Linked DNA regions of Caenorhabditis elegans. The protein of the gene in region 2 purifies or fractionates together with the protein of the main gene of each other region. This does not show direct contact. Each region holds a gene or a part of one and is shown on either strand. Other genes may lie near its edges.

Evidence for each region.
Region 1: the proteins of tpa-1 (region 2) and ZK1320.5 fractionate together in Caenorhabditis elegans (co-fractionation; one large-scale study listed by BioGRID). This does not show direct contact.
Region 3: the proteins of tpa-1 (region 2) and nduf-11 fractionate together in Caenorhabditis elegans (co-fractionation; one large-scale study listed by BioGRID). This does not show direct contact.

What each region holds. Positions count from the first base shown.
Region 1 is NC_003280.10:9,660,826-9,668,632, forward strand, and holds ZK1320.5 (uncharacterized protein), read right to left. Parts: upstream 4,853-7,807; 5' UTR 4,840-4,852; coding exon 4,656-4,839; intron 4,164-4,655; coding exon 3,979-4,163; intron 3,918-3,978; coding exon 3,720-3,917; intron 3,576-3,719; coding exon 3,495-3,575; intron 3,443-3,494; coding exon 3,328-3,442; intron 3,273-3,327; coding exon 2,791-3,272; 3' UTR 2,721-2,790; downstream 1-2,720. Other genes in the region: cyp-13A10 (Putative cytochrome P450 CYP13A10), read right to left, coding at 90-330, 469-612, 660-916, 962-1,261, 1,308-1,407, 1,455-1,922, 1,966-2,015; ZK1320.11 (BTB domain-containing protein), read left to right, coding at 6,799-6,911, 6,968-7,106, 7,152-7,411, 7,455-7,695.
Region 2 is NC_003282.8:90,330-98,255, reverse strand, and holds the start of tpa-1 (Protein kinase C-like 1), read right to left. Parts: upstream 6,277-7,926; 5' UTR 6,205-6,276; coding exon 6,179-6,204; intron 5,635-6,178; exon of another isoform or gene 5,605-5,634; intron 5,453-5,604; coding exon 5,346-5,452; intron 4,572-5,345; coding exon 4,426-4,571; intron 1-4,425. UniProt on the Caenorhabditis elegans protein: Diacylglycerol (DAG)-dependent serine/threonine-protein kinase that phosphorylates a range of cellular proteins. Phosphorylates mlk-1, a component of the JNK pathway. Involved in axon regeneration after injury probably by activating the JNK pathway.
Region 3 is NC_003280.10:11,341,779-11,349,279, reverse strand, and holds nduf-11 (Complex I-B14.7), read left to right. Parts: upstream 1-3,659; 5' UTR 3,660-3,664; coding exon 3,665-3,747; intron 3,748-3,827; coding exon 3,828-3,948; intron 3,949-3,998; coding exon 3,999-4,215; intron 4,216-4,274; coding exon 4,275-4,412; intron 4,413-4,469; coding exon 4,470-4,697; intron 4,698-5,215; coding exon 5,216-5,412; 3' UTR 5,413-5,559; downstream 5,560-7,501. Other genes in the region: pigm-1 (GPI alpha-1,4-mannosyltransferase I, catalytic subunit), read right to left, coding at 7-567, 616-687, 738-788; B0491.6 (DNA helicase), read left to right, coding at 1,485-1,515, 1,558-2,481, 2,533-2,805, 2,853-2,927, 2,979-3,107, 3,159-3,226; lgc-20 (Neurotransmitter-gated ion-channel ligand-binding domain-containing protein), read left to right, coding at 5,750-5,849, 6,811-6,923, 6,974-7,054, 7,101-7,213, 7,328-7,447, 7,496-7,501.

The DNA.
Region 1 (7,807 bases), on a different chromosome or scaffold from region 2:
ATTTTCAGACTCTAAAAAGCAAGAAAGTTTTATTTGAAAGCTTTTTCGATGACTAAAATACAAACAAAGAGGGTCGAAAATTATTGAGTTCATATCCTTTGCTTCAAATGCATCCAAACAGTTTCCGGTTGAGTCGTGGCTCTTCCAACTAATTTCAATGGGATTTCTGTCTTGGTGCCAACTTCAAATGTATATTTTCTAAGAATATGAGCCAAGAGCATCTTTTCCTCCATATAAGCCAATCGCATTCCAACGCACTGACGAGGTCCTAATCCGAATGAAATATATCCTCCTTTTTGGAAAACTTGGTCACAGTTGGGGTCAAGCCATCTGAAATAATAACTAGTAGGATCTCTTACTAAATAATTTAAAAGGTGGAATACTCTCCAAAGTGATTCGCTTTTTAAAACTTTCAAAAATTAAGCCAATAATACATCTGAATATATTTTTTAATTTTGAAAAAAAAACCTTTCTGGCTTGAACTCCTTCGCATCATCTCCCCAAATCTTTGTATCAGTATGAAGACTCCAAGTATCTACTTGAACCATTGTTCCAACTTCAACTTCTACATTTCCCAATTTAGTGGCTCTCATGCATCTCCGAGAGTTCGCCCTGGAATAATTGTTTTTTTATGTGAAGTATAAATTTAAAACTCCTACATTGTTCCCAAAGGGTACAAACGTAAAGTCTCTTTGATAATACAATCCATGTATTTTAGTTTTGAGAGATGATCAAATGAAATTGATGGTTCTATGCATTCTCGTTCTATTTCTTCTTGTAATTTCTTTTGAACTTCTGGATGTGTTGCTAGGAGAAATGTAGTATAGGATAAGGATAGAGCAGTTGTATCGAAGCCAGCAATCAAAAAAACGAGACACTGACCGACTATTTCTTGAGTTGTTAGTTGACGGTTTCCCTGCAATTTTTTAAATTCAGGAATAATTTTTCTCCTGAAACTCACATAGCTACTAGTCTTTGAAAAATCCCCATTATTCTCTTGAAAATGCTCCACATCATCTGCTCTTGCTTCCAAAAATAAATCGATAAAATCCTGTGGCTCTCCGATTTCAATTCCATTTTTTCTATCATTCTCCCTCTGATCTATACGATTTTGAACGGCTGTCACAACAGTTTTGTTGACGTGAATGAAATTGGCTGCTCCCAACAATGGAAATTTCAACATAAAAAATCGAAAAACTTGAGCAAGAGTAGGAAAAACTCCACCGATGAGGGGAATATGCTTTCGATTATCTCCGAATATCTGGAAATATATGTTGAATTTCACTGGTAATAGTACCAAAACGAACCGCTCTGACAAACTTCAAAAGTGGATTTTTGAACATTTGCGAGTCGGTCTGACCCATTGCAATTCGTCCTATAGTATCCATTGTGAACTCTTGGTAGAATCTGTAATTTAAAATTTAAATTACTTTTCCAATACATCGAAAACTCACTGTAACATATCAATTTGTTGTCCCTCCGAAGTTTGTTCTTCAATATGTCTCAATAATTCCATCGCACTGTCTTCCACAGTTACATTGATTTTTCTCAAACTGTTATTCGAAAAAGTAGGACTAGATATAGCTCTGAGCCTTTTCCATCTAAATCCTTGAGCCGAGAACAAGTTAGTTCTCTCGTCTTTTTCCGGATCACCTTGAATTGGATTCAGTTTTCTACCATAGAAGTTGTCATACTGCTCAACAAAAATTTGACGAACAATGTCGATATCAGAAACAATTAGAGTTTTAATGGTTCCTTCAGTGTATCCATATATTGGACCATAAAGTTTTGTCCAATCTCTGATTTGTAAGTATTGAGGATATTCTGATTTGAGAGTTTTTGGAAAACTTCCAACTAATGGATAACCTAGAGGTCCAGGGATACCACGCCGTCTCCAATATGTCCATATCCAGAGGTAGTAACTTAAATAAATATATTTAGCTTTGAGAAATAAATAAAAAATACCTGATAAAACCAATGAACAAAGTTGGAATAGCAAGTAAAATAACACTCATTTAGTTGTATTTTCTTGTAAACGAAGTCTGTATATTTTAAACAAATATTTCCAAAAATAAAATTTGTTTTTATATTTACAAGAAATCGGACACAAAAACGGCAACTATCTGACACACTTTTTGTGTCTCCGTCTCGACGATTTTGTGACTCCTTGCGCAGAATCAGTGAGTAATTGGATTACAATGATGATATCAAGACCACTAACTCTAGTCTATCCTGTAGCCAGTTTCTGGAGTTTGGTCTGCAGATTTGAAGAAATCACCGATTAACTTAATTTAGTTTAGCAACTCTGGAAGTAACATTGCCAGGCATTTTTGTGGGCAAGGCTTTGTGTCATATTGCGCAAGAAAGTCAAATCTAGTGGAAACCAGAAAAAATCAAGTATTTTTGATAAAATAACAAGCACATCTTACAATAAGTCAGCAAATTTTCAAACGTACTTTCATATGTATATAAAAATGTGGTTGAAATGACTAGATATTAATGTATTCCTAACCCGAAAGTTTTACCTAACCCTGCTGTTGATATTTAACACAAATTGTGCTCTGATCTGTTTCAATTATTTGATTAACTTTGCTATTTTGTTATGATAGATGGCCAATAACCAACTTTTTGTTATTCATTCACGAGATCTAGTCAGACATTTATATAGACATGTCTCACTATCATATGGTACAGGAATGTATAGACAGGAAAAACTTAAACTCAAAAAGATAACATTTATTAGAATTGCCGATGAACGAATAATTAAAATACATAGTATCTATATGTTGATCACCCAACAGATCCCATCGATGGTACCGAACTTTTAGGCCTCGTGTGGAACATCATCATACCCGAAGCTCCACCACTGCCCATTGAAGCTGTACTTTGCTTAGCTAGACTTCCGGAAGACGTAATTGAATTAGGATCTTTGGATATAGAAGCCATTCGACCTCCACTGGGAGGTCTTGGAGCACCTCCTCCGCCCATTCCCATCATTGCGAGGCTTGCAGCACCAGCGCCACCCTGAGAGGTATCCACGTCACTGAGAATTCCGATCATTTTCAAGTTGGCAATGATGGATTCTTGTGATTCTCGTGTTGCAATGACCTTGACTTTGGACTCTTTATGCAGATTTCTGGCTTTTCGACAGAGAATGAAGTTTCCGAAATAGTCGATTCGGAGATTTTTGTTGTTAGCGATTAGTGATAATGGGTAAACAATTGGAAGAAAGCATCGAGCATTGATGTACATCATATCAAGCGTGGAATCTTCTGAAAGAAGTTTAGTTTTCAGACTATTCTGATCTTTATTTCATATTAAACTCACCTAGATTTATAAATCTCTTGACAATTACATGCAAGATGAAGTCGGCCAAACAAGCGATGTACAGCATGATGTAGGAATTTTTGAAAAACGTCATTTGTCCACTGAGATTTTGGATCTAAAATTGATGTCAAATGTAAAACTAGAATATAAATCCTCAAAAAACTCACTTTCTGGTCATTTCTCATTCCACCGAGTAGGCAGGCACGAGTGTGAGAACCTTTTGCCGATTTGAACATGAGAACCGAGATCTGAAATTCAAAATAATAATTATAATATGTTTATTTAAGTTTTGTTGAAATTGCGTCACATGCGTGAGACTTTTTCTAAGGGAACTAAACATAGGATTTTTATTTTCTGTTGAATATATAAACTAGCCAAAACAGGATACTTACTATAATACATGGCAAAAACAATATTCCGTGATAGAAGTCGTAGTATACATTCGCGATGAGTGAACTTTTGATTGAAATTTCATCATTTGAAGATTGAAGAACTTCAAGTCCAGCAGCTTCTTTGAGTTGATCATCACTATTCAAATAGATTCCTCGAATAATCATCTCCATAATTACGGAGACCACTACTTCGATGACCTATAAAAGGTATTTAGTATTTGTATTTAATATTTATTGTAATAAAAATATTGATACCCACCCGGAAAACTGCCACATATCGAAACTTGGGACTTTCTCGAATCGTTGGACTCCGATTGTACGTTATCCGTTCAACAGTTGTCCAAAACACAGTGAGTGCTGGAATAGCACGGCTGACTGATAGAGTTGTCGAGAAGAAGGCTTCGGATTTTGTCGTGCGATTCACGTTGGCACCCCACATTGCAGCTGGAAAGGTTTATTTTAGAAAAATAATCAGAAATATTAGTTTCAAGGTTTAAAGATCAAAATATATCCGTATTATCATCAAAATTGTGAAATGCACATAGCAAACAAGTGTGCATACATATAATTGTGTACCTACGACAAGTGCGTGACCAACTCGGCGTTGTGAGCCAGCTTCTTGTCTTACTAGATAGGTTTTGCCAAAAAATATTAACACGGCTTTATCTTTGGCAAAATTTTGACAAAAGTTGAGGTTAGTAAAGGACACGTCTCAAGTATAATCTAACTTTTGCCAAACCTCGGACTACATTGGCAAGAGTTGGATCTAACTTGGACTAATTGCATTACACTTCCTGAACTTGCCAAAGTTTTGATACAAGTGAAGATTTTTTGGGCTAAAGTTTGACAAAAAGATATCGTTTACAGTTATACTCGAGCAAGAAATCCCATTTCTGTAGGCAAGTGGGTCTTCATTTTGTGCCTATATAAACTCACCAGCGGCCACAACATTTGAACAAGCCAGCACAATATGAGCAACGGACAAAAACCGTAAATTATTTCCGGTAAACTTTGGATAGACCGTAGATCGATGTGTGGCTCTGAGGTAGCACAGATTGAGGTAAACTCCGACAACCGAAAGGATCAGACACGAGGTAAAAAACACAATTTCAAGAACCATGGCGCCTGGAATGCTGATTAAATGAAAGAAAAATATGCAGAAGTGAGAAGAAAAGAAAGGAAAAAATAATTGAATTTGGAGGGGGAGGATATGTGTGTCTTTGTAACATAGAGAAACCTAAATTAAAACCTCTCAAAAATCACCTGCCTAGTTTTATATAATAGTTTTCTATTCACAGACTACTTTTTTTAGTTATATAAACTGTGTATGATAGGTATATTGAGAGTAGAAGAAGGAATTTGATGTGGGCCCAAAAATGAAGAAAAACATGAAAACAATCAAGTCCCACAGGAAATCGAGTTGGCGATACGTAGATTGTTATTTATTAGCGTTATGTTCTCTGAATATAATGAGATGTATAACAAGAAGGTATATACATAGATAAATCGATGCACATTGATGAGCACTATTTTAGGGAACTTTTAAATGAGAATATGCTGTGTCGAAGTTTTTTCTCGGAAATTTATACAGAAATATAAAGAAATAATAGTTACTTTTTATCAAAAATTTCAAAAATTTGGCCAAAATCTACTATTAAAATCGCTATGTGCCTATAGCACCTTAGAGTCAGCTTTTGAGCCGCTTTTTTAAATCTATTAATAAGAAGTGAGATATCTTTATAAAGCACAAATAAATAGTTTTATATATTTCTGTATAAATTTCCAGAATAAAACTTCGACACAACGATGAGACTTATGAGATTTTGTAAATATTGCCATTTCGTCTGGCTCAAAGGTTCAAAAAGGTGGGCTCGAGTCTAGAATTCAAGGATTATACAAAAATGGAGAAACTTTCTCTAGTTGATATAAGAACAACTCTTTGATTCACTCGTCATTTCCCCGTCTATCGACAGTGAAGGCTAATCGAAAGTGATTGTAGGCAGGTGTAAAAGTGCTGATTTACTTTGGTTGCCATGCTCACATGGAGACACGGAACCTTGGGTCAGATTGTTCAACTCAAGAATAAAACAATGCAAGAATTGAAACATCTGATGGTCAAAAAGTGATAATGGGTGGTTTGATATATACATGCATGGGAGGGTGACTGCTGCATAGACAAAACTATGTGTGAGATTTGAGCGTGTTGTCAAGCCCGTGCTTCTCTGCGTTTCTTTCAAGTTGCTCTCAAGGGCACAGAGCGGTAATTGGTTAGATGCGAAGTAAGAATAGACAGACGAGCCTGCCTAATGACGACGTAAAAATGAAGAGCTGTGAAAAAATGTGAGTAATGGATGAGGTTTTCTGACAGAACTAGCAAGCCGAATCAATTTGGCAGATGCTATAAGGAAAGGATATACCATGTGATAAAAGTTACAGTTGTCAAAGCAGATGACCCTAATCTAAATCTATCAGCAGGAAGGTAGGCAGACCTTCCCCTTTCCTAAGTCTCATTTGTCTTTCTTACGCCATAAGCTTTTGCATACGTCTATTCATGTGATTTTCTGGCTCACTATCAGTGTAGACTTATATTTAAAAAGAATGTTCTTGTTCAATTTGGTAGTAGGTAGGTGGTATAGGTGGATGCATAGGTATGCATTTTGGTGATTTGTCAAAGATCTGTGCGCCTTTAGGGAAAACGATATGTCGAGTGTGAGTAATTCAATGACATAATTAAACGTTTCATTATTATGTTTTATCAAACATCAAAAATCTTATTAAGAACTCCTGTCAACCGGAAGTCTAAGCTCGCCGAGCAGGTGGTACACGTGAAGAAAAATGTCTGAAAATCGTGTTTCTGAAATAGCATTAAAGTCTATAATTTGTTCTCGGTTTTGGATTTTACACATTTTCAGGTTCTCGATTAATTAGAGTCACAGTTTTTTCAGATTCCTACAGCTGCAGGAATGTGTTTCACCAGATGTGTCGAGAGACTGTGACTGGGTGAGATACGCAGAGTTATTCCGAGAGGAGTGCACATACGACACTCTGTAATAACACTAGCACTCCTTGTTTATCGTAAATGCTCATTGATTTATTTAATGCGAATTTTTCGAAAATAGTGCTTTCTTTTTCTATTTGTCCGTTTTATATTAAATATTTATCAATTATAATATTAATCATGTCAAAGAAAAGGCACGTTTCATGAGTCAGTTTTAAAATTTGATAATATCATAATTTCCATTTTTCAGAGTTCCGCAGACATGTCGAAAAAAAATGATTGTTGTTGATGGAATTGAAATCATGATTCCCAATGATAAATTAGACGAAGTGGTCAGCATCTTCAAGAGCGGCGTACATATAGACGACTTAGAAGGTTGGCAGACCGAGGTAATTTTTTCTTAATTAATTCCCTCACAAAAGTTTCAATTATAGGCTGCTCACGAGGAAGAAAACTTCGAAAAATTCATCACGGAGGCGAGGGAGTTTTCAAACATGAGCCCACCAGACATTGATCAATTTGAAATAAAAGCGCGGGGAGCTGCTTCGATCTGCGTGGTGGAGTTCTTTTTGAAGCACTTTGGAATTCTTATCAAATCGAACAAAGCAAAGAGCAGTTTGATGGAGGTCATTTGTTTCGGACTGAGCAGCAAGCAGGCGGTTCAGGTTATAGATATCTGGATGAAAGCAGAAAAGTAAGTCTACTTTAGCATGAATATTATTTATCTTTTGATTTAGGTCGGATCCGAATTACTATGAGAATTACTATGACTCATGTATGACGAAGGAAGGCAGAGAAGCGACACTGGATTCAATCAACGAGATGGCCGCCATCTTTGACAAAGCAGATTTAGTTCTCATTGAAGCCGAGCTGAAGATCATGACATCGGTGACACTCCGCGATGTCAAGAAAGACACGCGAAAGATCGGAAACTATTCATATGACTACTCGCGTATTGCCTTTTCTTCTTCTCTGTAATAAATTATTCTCTGTAATTTTCGTTTCTGCTTTGTTTATTTGGGAGTTTTTTTTTTCTTAAAATTTGTTTCTGTTGCGGCGAGACCCCTTATGTAGGGAATACGATTCGAGA
Region 2 (7,926 bases):
ATAACCATAAAATTAACCAAGAAAAGGAGTTTTCAAAATTTGTCGATGCACCATGTTTTAAATTTCTATTCGTTGATAGCTCATACATTGGTTCATGTAGCAATTTGTAAAAATATAAAGAAACATCCAATAGACACATTACCATTTGGCAATTTTTTTTCAAAAACTCGTACTAACTGATTGTGAGATATAAGCCCGAAGCCTAGAAGTTTAAGAAAAATCCCAAAAAAAAATCCGGAGGTGGTTATATTCCGTGATTTGAAAAGGCAGGCAGTCAGTTACACGCCCACAAATACACACAAAAAAGAAAAACGGGGGTTGTTGGAAAAATGGCGAAGGCGAGTATGTTTTTCGAACCGAAATTCAATTTTAACCGCCCGTCTCCATCCTCGTCCTCAGAGCTCTTCTCCTATTCTCCGCCCGTGGTTGTTACCCAATTTATGAGAGAAAAAAGGGACAAAAATTTGTGTATGGAATTTTTTTTTTGGAAATTTGGGTCAAAGTTTGAGCTGTCAGGAGGATTTTTGAAACTTGAATAGAATTTGAGAAATTTTTCTATAGATATGATATTTTACAAGACTTTAAATTGAAATTTTGATGTACAAAAGTTTATTAAAAGCGAAAATTTTTGTTGAAAAATTGAAATTTACCGAAAAAATCTAGAAGCGATATTTAAATTTGAAAATTAAATTTTTTTTTCAAACTAGAAATTGGGAAAAATTTGAATGAAATTTATTTTAATTATGTTTATTTTAAATTTACGAAAACTTTCTTAAAATGAAATTTTTTAGATTCTAATATAGAATTTTTAAAAAAATCGATTTTAGAATTGTTGTAAATTTTAGTTGGAATTATTGATGATTTTCACAATTATATTAGTTTGAAAAATTATGAAAAAATTTGAAAAATCTTATTAAAACTTGGAAGTTACCAAAATCACAGAATTCTGAATTTGAAATTTTTTCACAGCGTAAAATGCGAAAAGTTTCGAAAAAAAAGTTTTCTAAACACTCAAATTTGTTCCTAAAAATTTATGTTTTCAGTCAAACACCAGGTATCACAAAAAACATTGCGTGATAGATGATAATTTAGTGATAAGATGAGAGATATCAAATTTTTTTGTAGAAAACCAAGTCAAAACAGATCACTGAAATTTTTAGAGGATCGGGGGAAAATTGGGAAATTTAAAAATACAAATAAAGTGTCCAAAAATTTCAGTTTTCAAAAAAAAAAAGTCTAGTTTCCAAAAAAGTTTCTAAATGGGAAAAAGCTGTGAAAAACTACCAAAGAGGTGTGCTTCGTCCCTCTGGTAACTATTGTCTTCCGGCGGACCTTGTCATGACGTCACAGGAGTGGAGGGAAATAGACTTTATGTACATGGCCGCGGAAATAAAATAATTCGGCCACCAATTTTTTTTTGCTTAAAAACATAAATCACAGAATTTAGCTAATTCCAATATTGTTTTTTTGATAGGTTTTTATACAAAATTCCAAAATTTCAAAGCTCGAAAAAAACATTTAGAGTATTTTTTTGAAAATTATGCGAATTTATTCTGAATTTTTCTGGAGCATTCTGAAACTTTCCAACAAGTTCTAAAGTATTCTCAAATTTTCTGGAACTGTAAAAATCATTTTAGAAATGTTTGAAAATTTTTTAAATTTTTTTCCAAAAATTGTTAGCTCGAAAAAATGTGATGACGTCACTTTGAGGTAGGCTAATACTACGAACGTTATGGGTTGAAGTGAAGCTGCTCCAAAACTGAGCAAGAAAAATATGGAAAAAATAAAATGAAAACGAGGGGAGAGGGCACCGCCCGAGGCGAATCGGCTCCGCAGGTTTATGAAAATCGCCGCCCCCGTCTTTGTGTTTTTCGAACTTCTCTTGGCCAATTTGTCGTTTTTTCAGGACCAACTTTTTTATATGTTGTTTTTTTTCTAAATAGAGAAGCATAAAAATATCCTTAAAAAAGGAGTGAATGGGGTGAAAAAGTTGAAAAAGAGGAGCTTCCGGAGTTGGGGAGAAGGTCCCATGGGAATAAAGATGCTTGTTTGCACTTTTTTGGAGAAAGATTACAAGTGAAGTAGATAAAAAGCTATTCGGCGAATGAAAAAAAAAGGTTTTAAAAATTGGAATTTTTCTGAAATTCCAAATTTCAGAAACTTTTATAACTTTACATCGTCTAGAAGGTATTCATAAAAATTGAAAAAGGCTTCCTCAAAAATATTCCCAGAAATAGAATGTACGGAAAATATGTTTTTTTTTTGGGTTAAAACGTTTTTTTACAAACTTTAGTATAATCTCTGCGATTTTGGGATACTTTTTGAAAAATGGCAAAGTAAAACTAAGTTATTGGGTACTATCTGTTAATAAAAAAAACAGGACTCAAGGTTTAAAATTTTCACAAAGGAAAAAATTCACAAGTGTAAGAATTTACAGAAGATTTGAATTTTTCTCCAGCTTTCTATTCAGTTTCTGAAAAATCATTGAAAAAATTATATGTAGAAATCACGAGAATTTTCTCTTTTCTGAAAATTATATTATTATAATTATGTAAAATTCGGGAATGTTTTGGAATTTTCACAAATTTTCAGATAATTTTTTTTAATTCTAGGAATTTTTGAAAAATTCTGGAAATTTTCTAAACCGGTCTTATACATTTTGAAATTTTTTAAAAACTATCTTTAATTTTTTTTTTTTGGAATTTTCTAAACCGTTCTATAGAACTTACAAAAAATTTTTTAACTTCTGACCACTCTGAAATTTTCTTAATGCTGCCAGAAAACCATTTTGAAAATCAAAAGCTGTGATAAGCTCCGCCCACAAAATGTGCGTGGCAAACAATCCGAATTTCTTACCTTAATTAGAAGACTAATAGCCTCATAAATATCGTTCAGAACTTCGGTCATTTTTTTAAAGCAATTTTTTCAAAATTTGCTCAACCGACCGAGCTTCGAAAAGAAAACCAGAAATCTAGGAGGCAATGGAGTTTAGGAGCCGAAATTTAGACCACGCCTCTTTGCTCCTGAAGTAGGGGGCTCACATGGGATAATTTGGAATTTTTTATTACCAAATGGGCGATATAGTAGCTGTAATTAGAACAATTTAGTTGGTGTTAGAGAAGTTTGGGGAATTTTAAAAATTTGAATATATATTTTTTTTAAATTTTGATAGGATTTTCTAGAAAATTCAAAGAATAATTTGCAATTCAAACTTCAAATTATTTCGAGTTTACAGTCGAAAAAAATTTTTTAATTTCAATTGACACAGTGCCAAAAATGGCGGGAAAAGTTTTTAAATTCGAAAAAAAAACTAGAAATTTGCTGAATTAAAAAAAAACTACTTTTTTTCTATATTTTTCAGTGTTTTTAAAGGAATTTCCAATGTACTTGGTAAAATCAAACCAAATTTCTCAAAAAAATTTTTTTTGCAAATTTTAATTTTTCAACTAATTTTTTTGAAAGTAAGGAAATACCTTTTTAAATAAAAATTAAAACTTTTATACTTTAAAAATAGCCAAGAAATGAGCGGAGCTTATTTTGAAATTTTGAATTTCTTCTTTAAATAAAATTCTTCTTCAAACTGCATATGCATAGTTGGAATGATTTTCAAAACTCAAAAACAAAAAGAAACTAAACCAGTAAACATTTTTCAAATTTGTTTAGGCACTGCCCCTTTCTTGGCTTTTTTTGGCGGGTTTTTACTTTTTTCTGTAATTTTCTCGTTTTTTTTTGAATTTTAGCAATGAAAATAAAAAAAGTTCATAGCCCAACAAGAAATCTACAAGCGTCATAGTTTCCGTTGGTGATTTTTCAAACAAAAAAAAAATTCCGCCTAAACTTTCAAAAATCAAAAATCTCAACACCGCCATAAAAGTCGAAAAGGAAAGGGTAATAATTCGTCGTTGGTCTCTCATAAAATGTGGTGAAGCCGAATAAATGGCCAAGAGCACCAGCAGCAGATTTTGCTCCGTTAAGAGCCAAGAGCCACTGTGATCTTCTAAGATGTGGTCCCATGGGGCCAACTTCTCATACAAAGCTACGACAATTGCCACGTGGCAAAATGTGCTCATCCACTTTTTTACGTCATATTGGTGAGCCATTTTGTAAGCGGAATATTTTAAGGTACACCTATTCGTGAGTAGAACTTTTTGGGAATTGTTTTCATCCCGTGTTTCCAAAAAAGATATTGCCATGAGAGGTTTTTTCAGAGGTTTTCAGAAAATTTGAGTTTTTTTTTTGGGTTTTTGAGACTCGGCCCAATCTTTGGGTGGGATATAGTTAGTCACTTTTGGTTTTTCTGACACTTTTTTTCAGCAAAATTTCTAAAAACTATTAATAAAAAAATTGGAAATTTTTGAAAAAAAAAACTGAATTATTTTTATTTTTCAATTAAAAATATTCAAAAAAAAAAAAAAAAAAACTAACCTCTAATCGCATAGTTGCTTCGACCACAGGTGTCTGATTAAACATGAGCACAATTTGTAGAATTCGGCCCTCGGCAACTGCGGTATCCCAACATTTTTCCCATTCCGGGTAAAGGGTCTTCTTCTTTTGGACTAGTCGGGATTCACCTGGAAAATGATAAATAATTGAATAAAAATTTATTTGTACACATTGAATTCTGAAAAAAAAAACACTTGGGGTTTGAAAATTATTAAAACTATATTTCCTAAAATTAAAAAAAAACTTCTGATTTTTTTAATTGAAAAAATGTTTCGCAAATCATTTTTTGTTTTAATATTGAACTTAAATTATTTATAGTACCAGCCGGTGTCGTTCGAGCCTACGGCTCGACCTCCTCCGACTGACTCAAACTAAAGTTCGAATATCCCTCGGAATTACTTTTTTGGTTTGAATTTAAATGAATTTGATTTTTTTTTGAAATGAAATTTTAAATTTTACGAAAACTTTCAAACTAACGTGAGTTTTGCGTGTTGGCATAGCCTACATTAGACGGAAGAAAACTCTACTTTATATATAGTAAATGATTTTATTGATTTCTCTCTTTTTTTGCAAAAATTATATCAACTGAGAACAATTAATGTCAATTAAAAAAATCTTATTAATTGATATTAAAAATTTTATGCATTAAAAAATCTGTAAAAAAACCAAGAAATGGGCGGAGTCTCTTTCAACTTTTCAACTTTGATATTAAACAGGCCCCTCCCACTTCTTGACTATTCAGTTTTTTCAGTAGCTTTTCTACAATTATTTTAAAATTCACACGAATCGAATTTTTAAAAAAATATTTTAATTGTTATAAAAATTGTTTTTTAGGTAGAGGTTCCCCTTGAACTTAGATTTTTCGAAATTTTTTTCTTTTTCAAAAAAAGCTAATAACTCACCATTCACTTCAATCTTCTCCTTCACATTAACAGCCGGCTGCAAATCAGTTGCTGAACATCCGGCCGGAAGTAAGTCAACTGGAACGTCCGCTCGAAGAAGCTTCAGCCTGCAAAAAAATGGAAAAATGTTTTTTTGGAAGGCTTCCCTGATGTGGTGTGCACTTTTTCAGAGGACAAAAGGACCGAGAGAGGAGAAAATTTGTGATTTTTTTTGGTTTTAGCTGGGCTGAGCAGAGAGACAAAGGGGGAAGGCACTTACTGCTGCAAAGATTCTGTGGGGGTTTTTTCACTGAAATTTTTTTGTCCAAAGTTTGTAGTTTATAGCCTGTGACGTCACATGTTGACTTTAATTTAGGGAATTCCGGAAGGAAAATTAAACTTTAATTTTAAGAATTTTTGTTGTGGAATTTTTTAAACTTGAAAATTTATTAAATTTAGATTTTAAATTTTACTATAAAATTGTTAATAAATTTTTGGCGGAAAAGCAAATTTGATTTAAAAAAACAAAATTCAAATTTTACTTTTTCAGAAATTTTTATAAGACATTACAAAGTTGAGTATTCTTTAATTTAATTTTTTGCAAAAAAAATGGCCCAAAATTATATTCGTCCATATATCAGAATTATGTGGCTGGAAATCATAATTTTTACTATTTCAAAAAGTTTTGGCGAGGAAAATTCTAATTTGAATTTTTTGAGAACTTTGGCAAGAATCTCAAAATTTTTCAATTTTTCAAAAACATCTCTAGCGGAGAATCAAAATTTGGGTGAAATTGTTTTGTTTCAAACTCAAAATTTGCATAATTATCCATGTGATAATTTTCAATTACTCACCGACACGCATTCTCAGCCTGTGCCATCACGAAGTCCGCTTCCAGTGATGTCTCGCTCTCCGGCGGCGGATCCAAAGAGAAGATGTCGATAGCCTGAAAATTAAAAAAAATAATAAAAGGAGTAAACTCAAAAATAGACTGGTACTAGTTATATCATACATAGATTAATTTGAAAAAAAAGTATTAAAAATTTTTTGGAAACTGCGTAGAAGCCGAAAATAGGCTCCGCCCAATTGTTGGGTGATTTTTTAAAAAGAATCAGATGTTTTTTTAATTTTTTAAATAATTTTTTTTTTATATTCATGACTTCAAAAAATTACAAGGCACCATAGTTTAATTAATAAATTAAAAAAAATTAAATCTAGGCTCCGCCCATTTATTGGTTCAAAATTGTATTTTTCTAAAGCTTATTAAACATTTAAATTATTATTTACAATGCGAAAATCTTGCAATTATCATATTTAGCTTTCTAAATCTCTTCTGCAAAAAAATAAAAAGAGCAATGTGCAGTTGTGGCTGGAGAAGAAACGTCATGTCAGGGGTGAAAAAATGCAAAAAAAAACGAAAAAAAGAGAAAGCGACTCGTTAAATGTATTATCTTCAAATTTCGGCTCTGGTAGAGGGAGGGGAGGGCGGATTCGGGTCATGTCAAAAGTTGGGCGAGAAAAGGCCGCCCGGATTTTGGAAATGTATAAGGGGACCCCCGCACCCTTGAATAAAACACTTGAATTGGGAATTGATGAAAAATTTGGAATTTGATTGACAAAATGAGGTCTAGGTCTAGATGAGGTTTTAATCTTTCAAAGAATAGAGTGTAGAGGAAAAAGTCTACTAATTTTTTTAAATTTTTTTTTACAACTTATTAGTGCATAACTCAAAAACCACTGGTCTTATTAGAAAACTGTCAACTAAGAACATAGTCATCACAACATTTTTAATATTTTGGCAATTGGAAACTTTTTGATAGTAGTGATAAATTTCGAAAAATACAGGATTAATCTGTGTGAAAAATTTTAAAATAATAATTCTGAAAAGTTCTGAAAAAATTTTAGCTAAAGTTTTTAAAGTTTTTAGATCATTTTTTGAATCATTTCTAAAATAATTTGTTATTCAATTTCTTCCATAATTTTACGATGACAAAACGGAATTTTTTTTCAAAACTTTTTAAAATAAAATTCTGGAAACTGGAATAAATTTATGTTTTGAAGTTTTAAAAAATTTTTTCTTTTTCAGCAAAAAAAAATTGCAGGTTAGTTTTGTTCCTATTTTTTTTTCCAAAAAAAAATCCTGCTCAAAATTTCAAAAAAAAAATGTTTAAGCTCTTCCTGAAACCACGTAGGTACAAATAAGAAAATAGGAGGTTCCAATTTCAAGGTAGGCAGATAAGTAGTTTGAAAGGCGAGTCTATAATTAAATGGGCTCAATCGAATTGGGCTCGGAGGAGCCGAAATGTAGAGTAGAAACAAGGAAAAATACTCACTTTGCAATTTCAATACTGAAGTTTAGAGCAATAAATACAAAACATTGAGCACGGCATACAAGAACGAAAAAAATCCCGATAAAAACTAGAAAAATTTGTGAAGGAACCAAGAAGTTGGCGGAGCCTATTTTAGGGAAAATTTAAAAAAATTTACAATTAGTTTACGATTGGTTTTTTAGAATCTCTTGGTTTTTTTTTTCAAAATTTTGTATACTGGAAATCTAACCGCGCAAAATCAGAAAATTTCAAAAATATATAAAAGTTCAGGT
Region 3 (7,501 bases), on a different chromosome or scaffold from region 2:
ACTTACCAGCATATATGCGAAGCCTTTCCAGTTAGAAACCAAACTTTTAAACTTGTTCACAACACAACTTTGTTCTCCAATTGTTGAAAGACTCAGAAAAACTGATGGGAGATAAATCAATGGATAAATCTTCAATTGGATCGCAAGGGCGCCGTGAACTAGAGCTGCAGATTTCCAGTATCCTTTTTGAAGTAGCACAATATTCAGAAGCACGACTGCAGCAACAATAGATTCTGCATTTCCTCTGGCTGAGATGATAGCGGTCAGTGGATTCGCAAGCCAGTAAATCACGACATTCATTGTTTGATCATCTTTCATTTCTTCTCGTGTTTCGCTTTTTGTTTCGTTTAAATCTTTCTCCATTATTTTAAAATACAGAATCGCCACCAGGATGTCGAAAATGCAGAAGAGAATCTTTCCAAAGTCCGGGAAATGCACAACAGGCAAAAGAATCCATGCTAGCGCAGGCGTATATCGGTAAGTGGCTCTGTCGAATGGGCTTCCACCGTTTGAGACATGTTTGGCAGCGTCGGAGAACACGTGATAGTCGATGTCTGTGAAATTCACCTGAAACACTGAGTTTAAACTTATTTTGATGATGTAAAATTATCAAACCTTGAATAGATAATCGTGAATGTGTGCGTAGAAAACGAGAATTATCCTTGCCACGAATGCCACTAGTAAAATCTGGAAGAACATCATTAATTCGATGAATTCGTTGAAAATAGACAAATTACCTTATTTCGATTGAACGTTTCGTTCTTCACAAAACTCCGGACACATTGCATTTGTGGAGAAAACTGGAATATATTCGAATATATAAATGCTAAAAACCAACAAAGAATTTGTTAAAAATTGAAAAATGCAAGTGTGCTCTAGCGCAAATTTTCAACGGAGGGAACTTGAAAATTAGTTATTTTCGGGCAAACTTGTCGCAATTTTAATTGCTTCTTTCTTTCTTTAGATATCTCGCTTTTATTCATTTTTTACTAATCTTATATGTTTTGAAAGAATTATTTGTTAATCTTCATTATGTTTTCCCGGAAAAAATTAGCAAGAATCGAGTAAAACGGGTCTAAAAACGCGCTGCATATTACATGTAATCCTATTCTAGACAAACAAGTCATGCGTTTTCTTGTTATTCCCAATTTTGCAACAAGACGCAGAGACAAATTTCAAAATCATCAAAAGTCCAATAAAAGAATGCTTCCTTGCCCCGGAGACGCAGAGAATTTTCTGGCCGCTTTCGTTATTTCGTCTCTGTCTCTTTGTCCCGCGTGCTCTTTCTCGTGAATATAATCTGCGACTCTAGTAATTTTAGCACTATCTCTCATGTTCGTTTCGATTTTTGCGCCACATTCGACTTCATTTTTCGTTTTCCAAAACTTCTTTCAAAACAACTTTTTCGCATTAATTTGTTGTCTTCCTCACTCTTTTGAATTCAAAAACGAAAATTTTAAACCACCGATTGCAATTGTTACGAGATGCAAAAACCCGACGAATCGAATGAAAAACGTAAGAACAATTCAAATTATATTTTAAAATAATTATTATTAGTTTCAGATGATATTCCTTGCACATCAGCAAGCCTTCTCGACCATTTGATTCAGAAGGAAGCTTCTGCAGCAGAGGACACTGATCCCTTGGATCATATTGGCAATATAGGAGAAGCTATCATTGGACAATTTTCGTCTGGAGCAGATGTTGGAACCGAAATTCTACAAAATGCTCTCAAAATGTTCGATCAAGCAATGGCCTACACGAATCCACAGGCTCCACCAAAACGAAAATATAAACGAAAAGAAGCTCCGATAGAGGATGCTCAACCTACCACGACTTCATCAGCTACGCTAGCTTCCTTGCTCACTCTCAATCCGGTTCCAATTGAATCTAGTGCGAAAAGATTCCATCAAAATGATCTACGAGCTGGTTTTTCGCCACGTACCAAGTTCGACGTGGATTGTTCGGATTTCTTTCTTCTACAAGGATCTGATGCTGACACTCAATTCAATAATCTCCACAAGAAGCTCGAGAAGGAGAGAACGCAGATGTTTGATGATCAAGTTTCGAAAGATGTTGAACGACTTCTAAATACCGCAAACAGAGTTCACGGTCCCCGAGAATGGACTGCCGAGGAGAAAGCCGAATTCACTTCATACTGTAGAAGCTGGCGCAGTGGAGCATTAGGGGCCGATGACAAGCTGAATCTTCAGAAATTTTATTCAAAAGCGTACGGAAAAGTTTTCCAAGGACTGAGCGAAAATAAAGCTTCATCGGAGGAATCAGCTATCGATTTTTCTAATTTCATGGGTGTCGGTAGTGAAGATCCTGCTAATCAAACAGAAGACGTACCAGGTGGAAGCTGCAAGGCTTCTCCCGACAATTTCTCATTCTCTACTTTGAATCCAAGAATGAAATACGAGAAAGAGAAAGAATTTCGGTCCGCTATCAATAATATATTCACGGAAGTTTTCAAAGAATGTAAGTGAATATTGTAAAAGTTTTTATTCAAACAAAATTCTTTATTTTCAGTTCACTCAAAGAAGCAATTCATTCCCAAACCAACTCGCCTGGACGTTCCGCCGTGCGAAATCGAGCGGGAGCATTTATCAATGCTGATGTCAAAGTTCAGTATAGCTATGGACGATCCAGAAAAGGAATGGAATGTTGATGAGCTTCAGGAACTGCGTCGATTCTATACATTATTTCGAGAAAAAAATCATTTGCCATTCGTTCAAACTAAGGAATTCGGAAAATTTCTGCGTAAAGCATTTGGAAGACTAGAGCATTATGAGCTTCAACGAGGTTTTGCAATTAATTTATGGAACTTATATGATTGTTAGTTATTTCAGAAAATGACACTTCTCTTCAAGAAAAACGAAAATTTTGGCAAGAATACAGGAAAACGCATGTACCACCGAAAAGAGGTGATTTCTAAAATAAATTTTCACATTTTATCCCAATTTCGTACATTTCAGAGCGAAAAGCGTGCGCGGCTAGAACCACACCAGTAAGACCTTATATAAAATCGAATATTGATACAAAAGGAGAAACTGAAGAAGAGAGAAGATTGCGGAGAGCTGCGTATCTTCGAAAGTGGAGGCTAGGTAATATAACATTTTTGTAATAATACATTTAACAAATTATCGATTTTTCAGCTCAAAAAGAGAAGCATTCAGCAGACGTCATGTCACAGTTCAAGCACCAGGAAGATGTCGCCTTGTGATTTCTTTGTTTAATATTAATCAACTTTTTGTTCGCATCTCAGGAAATGTTCTTTGAAAAATAATTTGTTAGATAAAATTTATTTTAATCCGAATAAATATTTTATAATCTTTTTACTTATAGTTAATACAAAATTATAAACTCTAAGAGCTTTCAAAAAGCAAAAACCGCAAAATTAAATGCAAAAAGAAATTACAAATAAATCGTTTTTGAAAATCCGCGCAAGGACGAAGTATGCGCTAACATATGATTGTTGGCGCGTTTCTCATTCCTTGCGCGTTTCCCGTCTCGGCCGATTAATTTTTCAGTGTATTTTTTTCTGTTTTTGTTTATTTTATCCGCATTTGAATACATATTTTTGGCTTATCTTCTTTGGAATTTTTTGAAAGTATCTATGAACAATTTTTTATTGTTATTTATCAATCGATTTTCAGGTAAAATGGGCCACGGAGAAGAACCATTGACCGCCACGTATAAAACGCAGAGACCTCCATGGATCGGTCTTTGGAGTGATCGTGAATAGTAAGCTTTATTCTTTTTCTACTTTTGAAATTAAATCTAATTCAATAAAATATTTTAAAATGGTAAAATTTGTAATTCAGCAAGGGACGTGCCGACTGGTGGAAGGAGCCAGGACTTGAAGACTCTGTCACGCGTTCTGGAAAACTTCGTCTTTATCGTGCTCGTTTCCGTGAGGAAGATCCAGATTGGTATGATCCAAAGGTACAGTTAATTTATTTTGAGTGATATTCGCTAATTTTTTGCGTTTTCAGGTAAAAGACGGAGAATCCCTGGCCGGACCTTTCGGACTCGATTCCAAGAAGACCAAAAATCTCACCAAAAAAGGAGATCAGCCAGGAGAGCTGTCCGAATTCCAGAACAAAGTTTACGAAGGATCCCACCAGTTTAAGGCTATCGCTGAAAAGTTTGGAATCAGCAAAGAGCATCCAGGACTATCCGTTAGTCCAACCTTGAGCGATAATATGCTAAGTGAGGAATAATTAAAATTTTATTATAAGTATCCTGCTACAAAACTTTTTTATTTCCAGCTCCAAAGGACGAGTTAGGCAGAAACGCCGTGTTGCCAAACTCTTGGTATCCTGCCGGACCCCGTTTCTTCGACAGTCCACTCAATGAGGGATCTTTCTGGAAAGGACTTGCCGCCGCCAAGTATGCTGGAATTTTGTGTAAGACTAGATTAAGATTTAAAAAATGTTCACGATAATCATAAAACATAATTTCAGTGGCTCCATACACTATGCTGGAAATCCGTGCACTCAATACAGTCTCGGTATCCGAATTCTCGCCAAGAACCTATATGAAGAGATACCTCCAACTCGCTCCATTCCCATTGGCCGTTGCATTCGCCTGGGGCTTCAGTCTTTCAGCAGCCTCATCGATCCGTCATAAGGATGATGTCCATAATCATTGGTTCGCTAGTGTTGCTGTTGGATCAACCGTGGCTACCATGAGTATGTTTTGTTAAAAATTGTAAGCCAATTTGGCGAAATGATCAAAAAACGTGGTTTTCAGAGCGTAGAAAAAAATTTTAATTCTATTTAAATGATTTCTTATGTGTTTTCATCAGATTTTCTGTTAAATTCGAAGAAAATCACATGGAAAAAATTTAAAACAGAAACTAATATATTTTCGTAATTTTCCAAAATAGAAAAAAATCAATTCAAAAAATTATCTTTCATGGTAGCAGCCACATTATCATTGTATCTCATAATCAATTAGTTCTGATTCTGTCCGAAAAAATATTTTGTTCGAAATATTTTAATAAAAATTAGTCTGAAAATAATAAAAATTCGGCTTAAAATATGAATATTTATTTTTAAAATTTAACAAAATTCTCTGTAAATCTGGCAAAACTTGTACATTTTTATTTTTTAACAAATAAAAAATCTAGACACAAAATCAAAATCTGATTGTCCTGGTTAATTCCTGAAAAATTTAATTTTTCGTTTCAAAACCACTATTTTTCCAGAGAGCAACGTTGCCCTTGGAACCACTGCCGCCATCTTCACCGCCATCCTCGGAGCATTCTGGCAGTATCAACGACACTCGGAGACTGGACTCCAAGGAATGACTGCTCATCCACAATCTGCCGGAATCTGGGGAGGACCACTTCTTTGGCAGAAGATGCAACTTGGAAATGCCGATGTTCCGACCACACGATACTGATTGGATTTTTGAATTTTTTCTAGCTTCGATTCTACAATCATGTATAAGATTTTTAGTTTTCGAGAAAGAAGCATATAGCACTCAAACTTTAATTTTTTTTTTCTTCTTTTCTGCTCTTTTCCGAATAAAATCAGCGGTCATAGCATGAAAATAGTGTCTGTGAGTCGAGACACCGGGGGAACAACAACACAACGAATCGATTGTTTCACACGCTGGCTCCCCACCCCGCTCCGTTGTCCTGGTAACAACAAGAAGCGGGCGGTTCTTAAGAAGGGATACGCGTAGCAGCACACATACATACAAACTCGCATAACTTATTCCCTCTTGCTGGTCAAAAATGTCGTTTCTTGTGCTCTTTGGAGCACTTCTTCTCATTCAGACTTCTGAGCAGATGGTTCAATGCAGGTACACGAAGAATTTGACAAATCGAGCAGATGGTGAGTTTGGAAATTCCGAAATACTTTTTTTTTAATGGTTTTGGAAGGAATAACGTTGCCCACGTAACTCTCGGAAGTGAAAATTCAAATTAAAAAAATTTGCGAATTCTTTTCTTTTTTTGCATTTTGAAAACTGCGAAATTTAGCGATTATTATCGCAAAAATACGATACCCGGTCTCATCACGACAAATTTGTGTTAAATGCAGAAAAGGTGTGCGCCTTCAAAGAGTACTGTAGTACTGTAGTTTCAAACTTTCGTTTCTGCGCAATATTAATCGACTTTTGATAGAATTTCGATACTTAAAAATGCACTTTTTTATTAAATAAATTTCAAAATCTAGAGAAAATCTATGAAAAATCCGGCAGTAGCAAGAGTTTGAAGTTACAGTACTCTTTAAAGGCGCGCACCTTTTCTCAATTAACACAAATTTGCCGTGTCAAGACCGGGTACCGTATAGTTTTCTTACAATTAATTGAAAAACTGAAATAAAATACATGACTTTTTTTTTAACCCATGAATAACACAAGAAAACAATGAAGAACTTCGGTATTCTTTAAAGGTGCACATTTCTTAGAATTTTTGAAAATCGTTCGTTTCGAGACCCTCAACCGTACTTTTGGGCAAGCTTCCATCGAACCAAGGAATTACATTTCAAATTTATTTGGAGATCACGATCATTTTCTGTTTACGCATGACTGAGCGCTTTGACTCATTAGTTTTGACGGCTAAAAGTTGATATGTTGATCTTTATATTACGCAGACGTCGGAAGATGATCATTTTTTCCATATTTTTGGGTCTCGCCACGCTGAAAACAAATTACAGTAACTCGGGCCAGGGGCCAAGGGCCGCTTTTGCATGTCATTCTAATTAGAACGTGCGTGGCCGAGTTTCTCTTTTCGCGGGCACCTGGAAAATTTTTTTGGGTGGTCTCACAGCATAACCCAAATCTTTGTTTTAGGAGGAGATGAGCACTGTCTATTCTACTATCTTCTCAACAAGGAATACGAGAAATCTGGCAGCGTACACTCACTAAGCGCATATCCTCCAAATTCCGACGAAATGACGATTACTGTAATTATGATTTTCAGAGGAGACTGAAGTTTAAATATTTATATTTTCAGATAGAAAATGTGCTTGTCAAATACGTGGAATTGGTGAAAGGATCTAGTTATCAATTCAACGTTTTTGGAGATATTTATCTGGTAGATGGGATGACAAAAGTGGGAAATTAAATGCAAAAATTTGCAGAACTGGAAAGATGAGCGTATGAAGTGGGATAAGAAAGGCGAATTCGAGAACTATGAACACTTGTACATTTTCAATTCAAGTGCCATTTGGACACCTCATGTGATTGATCACACGTAAGCTTTTTTCGCAGACCGTACATTTATATGGCTGAATTTGGGTTTAAAAAATTAGTCGAGAGTATCTCCTTATTTTAAACCGCCTAACATTAGAAATGAACTATTTTCCAGACTCTGCTCTGAAGGTGGTTGTTCTTATTCAGTCGATGACGTTGATATCTATGACGATGGAACAATCTACGCGAGAATTCAATTCAAATATCTTGCAAGTTGTACGGTGGATTATAGGAAGTGAGTGATTTCAGTAGCACATCTTAAACTCACTTGCAACCATTCCAGATTCCC